3 linked regions of the Cricetulus griseus genome follow. The protein of the gene in region 3 purifies or fractionates together with the protein of the main gene of each other region. This does not show direct contact. Links are inferred from orthologs where the notes say so. Each region holds a gene or a part of one and is shown on either strand. Other genes may lie near its edges. The genes, in order: Asap1, Flna and Cttn.

Region 1 (4,092 bases), on a different chromosome or scaffold from region 3:
ACAAGCTGGTACCCAAGTTTCAGTTCCCAGCATGTTCCTTTCAGTTCCCACTTATCCACACGTGGGTCCTTCCTGTAAGTCCGGGTTTCAAAGGAATCTGAAACACTTTAAGCAAAACCACCAAACTGCAGCTTCCAGGTTAAAAAAAAAAAAATGTGGCATTTCCTTGGGAAACCACAATGAATCACTCCAATGGCCGCCCAGACTTCCAGGCTGCTTTTCCTAAACCTCCTGGAGCATCTCAAGGCTTATTAACACGCCCTCCCCTGAACCATCCCCAACCCCCGCCATCCTCAGGTTAAGAACAAAATCTCAAATTTTTGTGAGGCCTAGTGAGTTTCAGATTTCACCAGAAGGGGGTCCGCACAGCCGCTGACCTTTTCTTCAGACAGCAGTTTCTGGAAGACTCAAAGAAAAGCAAGCAAAGCAATCACCCAGTGATGGGGTGGACGGGACAGGGACAACGGACTGATGTCTGAAAGGTCAGACCTGTCCCCAGCGGTGTAAGTCTACATAGACACACACAACACACATCCCACAGGGCAGCGGCCTTTTTCCGCCGAGGTCTTGAGACTGCAAATAATAAGGCCAAGCATGGCTATCGTTGGTATTCCCAACTTGCCAGTGTAAGCATCTGGTTTTCAGATTAAGTCTACAAACACTCCTTTTTGGTTTTTCATTCGAGAAACTGAGGCCCAAGGAGTATCATTTGCAGGAGAAAGGAAAAGGCCATTCCCCAACCTGGGTTCAGACATGGAAATCCATACGCTCGCCAGATCATCCCTGTGCTATTCTGACCCAAAAGGTTCTGCCTCCAGGCACTGGGCAAAAAGAGAGGGATCGACTGGAAAGAACCCGTGAAAGTGGACGGGGAGACGTCAGGAGAGGTTGCAAGGCCATCCTGGCCGGGAGTGGGGGGGAGGCTACGGTCCTCTCCGGGTGTCCCCGCTTTAGCGGCAGACGGGCCTCACCCCTGCCCTCTGTGGCCAAGGACGAGGCCCACCCCACGCACCCCCTGCGGTGTCCTACTGGGGCGACCCGCAGGGTACCGGCGGGCCAAGGGTTAAGCGCGGCGGGAGCCCCCGGCGCGGGGCAGGCGCGGGCCGGGAGTGCTTAGTCAGGATTCCGATTTCCTGCCGAAGTGTTTGGATTTCCTGCAGCCCGCGCCCGCCGCCGCCGCCGCCGCCGCGCCGAGCGGGATCGAGCGAGCGGCTCGCGTCGCCGGCCTCCTCCCCCTCGGCACATGGTCGCCCGCCCCTTCCTGCGCCGCGCTCGGCTCCCGCTCGCCCGGCCCCGCCGCGCCCGCGATGGAATAATGCCCAGCGGCCCGCCCGGTCCCGGTGAGTGGCAAGGCGGCGGGGCGGCGGGGCGGGCGCGGCGGGGCCACCCGCACCCCTGCGGGCTCCGGGTGTCCCTGTCATCCCGGAGAGCAGCAGCCCGGGGTCTTGGGGGCGTGTGGGGCGCGCGGCCGGTTCTGCGGGGCTGTGGCCAGGCCGCCCCGGGGCTCCGCATCCGCAGCGCTGGGGTGCGCGTTCCCCTGCTCTGCGGAGGCGACCCGGGTTGCGGTGGGGGGGGGCGGGCAGGATGCGCCCCGGGCGCAATGCTCCCCCGTTCCCGGACGAGGCGCGGACAGCCGCCCGGGCGCTCTCCCCATCCGAGGGGGCGCTGTCCCCGTCCTTGGGGGCGCTTTCTCCGTCTTCCTGAGCACTCTCCCCTGAAGCTGGGGCTCACTCCTCCTCCTCCCGGGTGCTCTCCCGGTTCTCCGGGGCGCTCTCCTTCTCCTCCCGGGCACTTTCCCGGTTCTCCCGGGCGCTCTCCCCGCGCCGATTGAAGGCGCCGGCACCCGCCGCCGCATTGTCTCCGGCGCAGTGGAGGAAAGTTCCCCTCGGCGCGGGACCCGGCCTGGACATGGCGCTGCCAGGCAGGCCCCAGACCACTTAGTTAACCCAAAAGAAAACCAAGGGGGTGGGGGGTTGGTAATTCCTCCTGGGAGCTGAGAAGTGCCTTGTGTCTTCCGTTTGTACCATTTGGGGACCTGATGATTTTTTTAGGAGTGTCACAGTAAGTTTAAAAGAAAAAAAGAAACTCGCTGGTATCTGCTTTTCTGCTGTTTGATTCATCCCGAGAAGGCGGGTCTTTTTTCTATCACGGAGAGAGGCTTAGCCAAGTCTAGACCATCATCAACTTGACCATAGCCTTAGCTGTACGATTCCAAAACACCAGTTTGTTTTTCTCCATCTACTCCATCAGGTTGTCTTAGAGAACTGATTCTGGGATAGCGGTGGTGCAGGATTGCTGAGTAATGTTTTCAGATTGCAAAACACAGAATTTAATTTTTTTTAAAGCCAGTTTTCGTGTCTGTTCTAACCTGAGTGGTCAGGTTGGGAGCTCCCCGCCCCCGCCACCCGCCCCGGCCCCCGTTCCCGCACCCCCCCCCCGTGCAGGGCCATTGCGAAGGGGTGGGGGTGGGGGTGGGAGGTGGGAGTTGGGGGTGGGAATCCTGTAAGGGAAGAAAAGAGAGCGCAAAAAACCATAGAAGAACTGTTTCCACTTTTTGTTAACGTGGAATGGAAGCGGTTCAAACAGGTTACCTGTCTTGTCAAAGGGCACATGACCACTTGGTGGCCTAGCCAGAAACAGCTAGCTTCCAATTCGCTAAACTCTGGGGCCAGGCTGCTCTCTCTGCCTGTGTCGGGTTATGGCCTGTCAGCCAGGAACCAGATGTGGAATTGTGTCTTTCAATCCCTCGCCACTTTAGCGCCTTCTCTTGTTCGCTTATCTGCAATTGCCGCTGTTTTTGAGATATGAAGTTATCTGAAAGAACTTATTTTGTGATAAGGCGTTTTTAAATTACCCTATTTAAAAAATGCATAATTATTTTTAGTACCTTGCATGCTGGCTTAAAAGAAAAAACAAAAAATTAAAATATGACCCAACTTCTTCTATTCACTGACCCAAGTGCATTTGGGATTCAACTATCAAACGGATTTGAAATATACAATTGTAGTTATGAGATGGGGGATTGCTTTTCTCTACTTTCTCCTTATGGTTGAAGATGTACAAACTCCCAAGACTCCAAAGGGGCAGTGTCTTGACACAGAATGGTCTGTGAGATTCTCAGAAGGTCTTGGTTTTGAGTCCTCCTCTTTCTGTGAGCTGGGCAGCCCACCTACCTTCCTCCTCATGAAAGCTGGGTGGCTGCTGGCTTTTCATTTTTAGTACGTGATAATGTTGGAGAGAAAGGACTTGCTCACAAGCTTGCCATTTGGTGAAGGAAATTGAAATTCCTTACACCTCTCCCACTCACAGCAAGCCAGGTTTCCAAAAAACCAATGCAAGCCCGGCAGGCCCAGAGATGAATGTGTGCATTCAAGCTGAGCCCTCCTGGTCCAGACCCTCCTCCCAGCTGGCTGCTCATGTTGTATCCAGGTGGCTGTGGTCTAGAGGAAAAAGAGAGCTGGCCTCCTACCTGTGCTGTTCGTGTTTCTTCCCTGCAGTGGACTCTGCTTTTTGATGAGCTCTTTCTGACACCCCCCCTTCATTTTCACCTCCCCCATTCTTTCCTCTCTGTGGCGTCTCTCACACGGTTTCCAGGGGTCTTTTCTAGAAGTCTGCACTAATGATTCCTACACAGGCGATGCTGACAGTGATATCTAGTACTTGTTGAGCACTTGTGGTATGCTCTAGACTCTTTACCTCCTAAGAAGGACCAAGGAAGTGTTGGGGAGACGGCTTAGCTGGAAAGAGTGTTTGATGTACAAGTATAAAGACCTGAGTTCAAATGCCCGGAAGTCTTGTAAAAAGCCAGGTGCCCTGACTCAGCACCGCAATCGCTTGAGCTTGCTGACACGTACCGGCCTGGCTCTAAATACAGTGAGAGACCGTGTCTAACCCCCAGTGTTCACTCATGGGTATGAGTGAACACACACACACACACACACACACACACACACACACACACACACACACACACACACACACACACACACACACACACGAGTGTTCCCCCAAAGAGGGGACTCCTTGGGAGCCTTTCCCAGAAAGGACAGCCTTTCTCAAATTCATCTGTATTGAGTCATTCTTTCTTGTATC
Region 2 (2,700 bases), on a different chromosome or scaffold from region 3:
ATTTCTGAGTGTGGATGCAGTTGTTAGGGCCCTGCATCCAAGCTCTTAGCAACAGGAAGCATGTGGAAGTATCAAGGCTGTGCTGGGTGGCTGAAGACAGGAGAGCCAGTGACATACACTCTGCCTGACCTTCCATGCTCCCAGGGAGCCCAGCTGAGTTTATCGTCAACACAAGCAATGCAGGAGCTGGTGCCCTTTCCGTTACCATTGATGGCCCCTCCAAGGTGAAGATGGATTGCCAGGAGTGCCCTGAGGGCTACCGTGTCACCTATACCCCTATGGCACCCGGAAGCTACCTCATCTCCATCAAGTATGGTGGGCCCTATCACATTGGGGGAAGCCCCTTCAAAGCCAAGGTCACAGGTGAGCCCCAGGCTAAGCTGTTGGTGCCCATTCAATGCCTTGATATTCTCTAGCTACTTCTCAGTTTCACCTATTCTGTCCTGCAGGTCCCCGTCTTGTTAGTAACCACAGTCTTCATGAGACAACATCTGTATTTGTGGACTCCCTGACAAAAGTTGCCACTGTTCCCCAGCTTGCAACCTCAGGCCCAAGTCCCACTGATGTCAGCAAGGTAGTAGCCAAAGGCCTGGGGCTGAGCAAGGCCTATGTAGGCCAGAAGAGCAGCTTCACAGTAGACTGCAGCAAAGCAGGTAAGTATCCCTGTTTCTAGCTCTGGAAGTACAAAGTCAGAAATCACAAGACAGTCAACATGTGGAAAGTACAGGAACTTAGGGGTATGATTGTTGCTTTGGGGGCTACTTTATATTTGGGCTTCCTGGAGAAGTAGCTTAGTGGTTAAGAGTACTGGTTGCTCTTCCAGAGGACCTGGGTTTTGTGGGTTTTTTTTTGTTATTTTGTTTTTTTTTTTGAGACAGGGTGGAGCCTATATGGCACTCACTCTGTAGACCAGGCTGGTCTCAAACTCAGAGATCCACCTGCCTCCTCTGCCTCCTGAGTGCTGGGACTAAAGGCATGTGCCACCACTGCCCAGTTTATATAATCAGTCTTTCTTTCTTTCTTTCTTTCTTTCTTTCTTTCTTTCTTTCTTTCCTTCCTTCCTTCCTTCCTTCCTTCCTTCCTTCCTTTCTTTCTTCCTTTCTTCCTTTCTTTTTTGAAGACTCAGGTTCAAGTCCAAGCACCCATCTATATGGCAGTTCACAACTATCTATAACTCCAGTTTCAGGGAATCCAACACCCTCACACAGACATACATGTAGGCAAAACACCAATGCATGTAAAATGCATTGCCAGTTGGTGGTGGCACACCCCTTTAATCCCAACACATGGGAGGCAGATCTCTGAGTTCAAGGCAAGCCTGGTCTACAGAGCTAGTTCCAAGACAGTCAAGGCACAGTGAAACCCTGTCTAAAAGACGTACGTGTGTGTGTGTGTGTGTGTGTGTGTGTGTGTGTGTGTGTGTGTGTGTGTGTCTGTCTGTCTGTCTGTCTGTCTGTCTGTCTGTGTCTGTGAAGAAAATGTCCTGGAAGACCTGGGATTTGTCTTCTGGTGGCCTAGGTGGGGTATGAGAAGCTTGTTGGGAAGGGGTATTGTTCTAAACAGGCAAGGAACAGGATGTAGAATAGGAAGAAGGGCTCAGAGCAATTACAGCTGAAGGAAGGGGTTAAGGCTAGTCACTGAGGCCTATTCCTACCTCAGGTAACAACATGCTGCTGGTGGGGGTGCATGGCCCAAGGACACCCTGTGAAGAGATCCTGGTGAAACACATGGGCAGCCGTCTCTACAGTGTCTCCTACCTGCTCAAGGACAAAGGGGAGTACACACTGGTGGTCAAGTGGGGTGATGAGCATATCCCAGGCAGCCCATACCGCATTATGGTGCCCTGAGCCTGACAACTATGCCAGCCAGAATCTCCCATAGCAAAGAGCAACCTCACACCTGTCCCACCCCCAAGAAGTCCATTTTCCTTTCCTGAGCCCTGGGCCCTCCCTTAGATCACTCTGGCCACTCTGTCACTGCAGTCTCCCCTGCCCTGCGCTGTGCTCACCTGCCTCTCTGGGCTTTCACTTGGGTAAAGGGAGCCATTTGGTGGCAGCGCCTGACTCCTTTGGTTCTGGGAGGGTGGGAGTTCTATGTACAACCACTTGCTAGTTCTCTTTCCCAGACAAGAGGAATAAAATTTTGCTTCCATTGTCCTGTGAGTGTCTGTATCTTTCATGGAAAGAGTGATGAAGTCCAAACTGGCAAGGGTACCAACAAGGCATAGGTATAGGCTGTGGGATCTCCAGGTAGCACAGTCTGTATTTGCTCTTTGTTTCACAGAGATGGGTATATGATGTACCTAGAATGGCATAGGATCAAGTAGGCAAAATGTGGGGCATTAAGATTAATTGCTAGCTAGTTGGTGATCGCTAGCAGTGATGATCAGGTAAACTGTCTTAGAAATAGCATCAAGGCCTAGCCGTCTCTTAGATACCATGAACATAATAATACCAGCTCTTAGTGTTTGGCTTTTGAGGTGGGTTTGAGGTGCTTTGGCTGTCCTGAACTCACTCTGGAAACCAGGCTGGCCTCCAACTCAGAGATCCATCTGCCTCTGCTTCTGCCTCCTGAGTGCTAGAATTAAAGGTGTGCCCTACCACTGCTTGGCTTATTTTGATATTTTGGAGACAGGGTCTCACTATGTAACCTTGGCTGGCTTGGAACTCATTATGTAGACTAGGCTGGTCTCAAACGCAC
Region 3 (3,649 bases):
CAGATGTGACTTCCTGGCTGACTGGGTAACCATGTGTTTGCTGTCCTTCTATCACAGGAGCAAGCCAGAGCCAAGAAGCAGACGCCCCCTGCATCTCCTAGTTCTCAGCCAGCTGAAGACAGACCACCCTCCAGCCCCATCTACGAGGTGGGTAGTCACTTGACCAGTTGGCTGCCCTAGACTCCTGCAGACTTAACCACCCCCCTTCTGTCTTTTTGGAGCAAGGTGTCCCCCCAGGTTAGATGTCTTCACCTTTGGGCAGCCCATGGCACCATGGTCTTCCTCTCCCTGTAACTTCTGAGAGGTCAGTAGATGCCACATGCTTAGTGTGTCGCACTAACTGTGCTCCCTCTGCAACCTACTGTCCTTTGGCCCTGAGACAGTGTTCTCTCTTCGTCCCTGGAGCATCTTGTTCTCTGGTCCCTATGGCCTCCTCACACTAAACTCTGTGGAGTCCTTGCCTCATCCCTGCCTAGCATCTCCCACCCTCTGCCCTCAGGAACCCCTCACTGAAGTAAGCCCCTTTGCCCACAATCACATCCCATGGGTCCCAGACAGTCCTCACATACTGCCCTTCTGTCATGTAGATAACATTGCTCATGGGTCCTGGGAGAGCTAGGACACAAGCTGTGACTGGGGGCTTAGGGTACCATGGCCTCTTCACCACCAGGATTCTCTCTCCCTGACACCATTGTTACTTGCTCTGCATGGCAGGGAGCCTTCCCGTGCAAGACTTCTTGGTGGATGTGGCCTTGTAGCTAGTGACCCGAAAACAGAGTGACCATGAGGCATTCCCACATAGGTGCTGCGGCACTGGCTCTTTGATGTTCTTGGGCATGGACAGGCCTTGTGACTGGCAGCTCAGCTGGGACCAGAAGCTGAGGGAAGAACCTGAGATGCTGTGATGGGAAGTTGGGGCAGGGCTCAGTGTGGAGCCACCACACCAGGAACTGGCTGTTCGCCTTGTAGTCTCCTCTGGCTACCATCATCTTGCCAAATGGGACCAGTCTTGGAACTGAGTGATCTCCTTGGACTGTGGCAGTGTGCCCTGTGTGGTCACCTCCACAGGAAAGCTTCCTGTCCCCACTCCCTGTGCATAAAATTTCTATTCTTGCCTTGATTTGTCTGACTATGGAGGTCACTTGTGAGTGGACCTCTTCTGGCTCTGGTGACAGCATGAGAAATGTCTGTTTGTCTCTCCTCAGGATGCAGCGCCGTTCAAGGCGGAGCCAAGCTACCGAAGTCCTGTTGGTGGAAGTGAGCCTGAGCCTGTGTACAGCACAGAGGCTGCAGGTGTCCTTGAGGCCAGCAGCCAGCAAAACTTAGCTTACACCTCAGAACCTGTCTACGAGACCACAGAAGCCCCTGGCCACTACCAAGCAGGTACTAGACCCCACTCTAGCTATGTCCAGGGGATGAGGGTTTCTGAGAAGTCCTTTCCTCCATTGTGCTCCTCAGAAAGGGTTGGCTTGCTAGCTGATAGTCTAGGAATGTGAGTTCTGTGGCACCCTGGATCGGGGAGGGTTAGACACAGTGGTTCCTACGAGGGCAGTGCTCCTATCGTGTGGTCCTGGGAAGGTTTGTGCTGTGCTGCATGAATGATTAAGGCTGCAGTGGGGAGGGATCTACTGGCCTGAGGAGTCCTCCCATGGAGGACTCTGCCTATCACCCAGCCACTTCAAAGGTTCCATCTCCCCATGCTTTGAAGGTGAACTAGTGCTTCAGCTGACAGTGAAGAAGCTAATTTGTTTACTTTGGAAACGAAGTTCCAGTGAGGCACTAGACAGGGGCAGTGTGGGGATGGGAGCAGAAGACTTTAGTTGCTCTCAGCCTCACTGTCCCAGGGCAACCTTTGGTGCCAAGGTTCCATTACTCTGGCCTCTTGCTTTAGTGGCATCAGACTTTTTTATTTTTTTCAGTGTCTTAGTCAGTATTCTTTTGCTGTGAAGAGATACTATGACCAAAGAAGTTCTCATAAAAGAAGACATTTAATTGGGGCTTTGCTTGCAGTTCCCAGAGGTTTACTTTATTGTCGTCATGGCAGGAACCATGGCAGACATGGTGCTGGAGAAATAGTTGAGAGCTACACCCTGATCTTCAGGCAGGGGGTCCGGGGTGCAACACTGGGGCTTTGCTTGGGCTTTTGAAACCTCAAAGCCCACCCCCAATGACACACTTCCTCCTAGTCCTTCTAATCCTTTCAAATAGTGCCACTCCCTGGTAACTAAGCATTCAAATACACGATTCTGTGGGGACCTTTTTTTTTTTTTTTTTTTTAAGATTTTATTTATTTATTATGTATACAGTCTTCTGCCTGCATGCCAGCAGAGGGCACCAGATCTCATTCAACATGGTTGTGAGCCATCATGTGGTTGCTGGGAATTGAACTCAGGACCTCTGGAAGAACAGTCAGTGCTCTTAACCTCTGAGCCATCTCTCCAGCCCTGTGGGGGCCATTCTTATTCAAACCACCACAGTCTCATTCAGTCAGTAGCCCTGGCTGACTTAGAATTCACAGTATAGCTCGAACTGGCCTTGAACGTGGGGTGATCCTCCTGCCTCTGCCTCACGTGTTGGGATTGCAGCCGCCATCATGCTAGGTTTGGAAAAGGGTCATCTTGGTACTTGTTACGTGTTCATGTGGCTATACTTCCCTGTATGTGTCAGAGCTCAGTGTCTAAGCTTTGCTGTTGAAAGCCAAGAGTCCTGTCTTAAGTCAGGATTTCTACTACTATGATGAAACACCATGAGCAAATCAAGTTGGGGAGGAAACAGTTTATTCGGCTTACACTTCCACATCACTGTTTATCACTAAAGGAAGCCAGGACAGGAACTCAAACAGGGCTGTAACCTGGAGGCAGGAGCTAATGCAGAGGCCATGGAGGAGTGCTGCTTCCTGGCTTGTTCCTCATGGCTTGCTCAGTCTGTCTTCTTATAGAGCCCAGGACTACCAGCCCAGGGTTGGCACACCACCCACAGTGGGCTGGACCCTCCCCCATTAGTCACCAAGAAAATACCTTACAGCCAGATTTTATGTAGGCATTTTCTTAATTGGGGTTCCTTTCTTTCAGATGACTGTAACATGTATTAAGCTGACATAAACTAGCCAGGACAAGTCCTTTTGTTTCTAGGAGGTTTCTTACTCTTCCATCCCAGCACCTGCCACATAGGAACCCAGCTGTTGTCATGAGGTCTTTTTTCGAAAGCTCTCCCATCTATCCTTGGGAAGTATGTTTGGGGTGGCTGGCATGTTGCTCAGCAGTTCTGCTTTGCTTACAGAGGATGATACCTACGATGGATATGAAAGTGACCTGGGCATCACAGCCATCGCTCTGTATGACTACCAAGCTGGTGAGGCACTAACTGTGGGCTGAGGGCACAAATGTTCCTGCCCTGGGTCAGGTTCTCAGCCACTCCCTTTCCTAGACCAATTCAGGGCAGGAATGCAAGGCTGTTTAATGTTTGCTTTTGAGCAGGGTTTGTGTTACCCAGTCTGACCTTGAACTCTCAGGCTTAAACAGTCTTCCTACGTCAATATTCCAGTGGCTGACACATTAGGTGCACATTACTGAGCTTGGGTACAGTTTCTACAGTTTATCTTGAAGTGACTTTAGAGCAGTTATCTGGATGGTACCAAGGATGCTCATGT

What was found.
Region 1: the proteins of Cttn (region 3) and Asap1 purify together in Homo sapiens (affinity purification with western blotting; 6 studies listed by BioGRID and IntAct, with this or other methods). This does not show direct contact. The link is inferred for Cricetulus griseus from reciprocal best matches to the Homo sapiens genes CTTN and ASAP1.
Region 2: the proteins of Cttn (region 3) and Flna purify together in Homo sapiens (affinity purification with mass spectrometry; 3 studies listed by BioGRID and IntAct, with this or other methods). This does not show direct contact. The link is inferred for Cricetulus griseus from reciprocal best matches to the Homo sapiens genes CTTN and FLNA.

What each region holds. Positions count from the first base shown.
Region 1 is NC_048603.1:23,764,631-23,768,722, forward strand, and holds the start of Asap1 (arf-GAP with SH3 domain, ANK repeat and PH domain-containing protein 1), read left to right. Parts: upstream 1-1,217; 5' UTR 1,218-1,340; intron 1,341-4,092. UniProt on the Homo sapiens protein: Possesses phosphatidylinositol 4,5-bisphosphate-dependent GTPase-activating protein activity for ARF1 (ADP ribosylation factor 1) and ARF5 and a lesser activity towards ARF6.
Region 2 is NC_048604.1:1,487,917-1,490,616, forward strand, and holds the end of Flna (filamin-A), read left to right. Parts: intron 1-144; coding exon 145-363; intron 364-449; coding exon 450-653; intron 654-1,659; coding exon 1,660-1,847; 3' UTR 1,848-2,162; downstream 2,163-2,700. UniProt on the Homo sapiens protein: Promotes orthogonal branching of actin filaments and links actin filaments to membrane glycoproteins. Anchors various transmembrane proteins to the actin cytoskeleton and serves as a scaffold for a wide range of cytoplasmic signaling proteins.
Region 3 is NC_048596.1:56,922,571-56,926,219, forward strand, and holds part of Cttn (src substrate cortactin), read left to right. Parts: intron 1-57; coding exon 58-147; intron 148-1,205; coding exon 1,206-1,383; intron 1,384-3,279; coding exon 3,280-3,351; intron 3,352-3,649.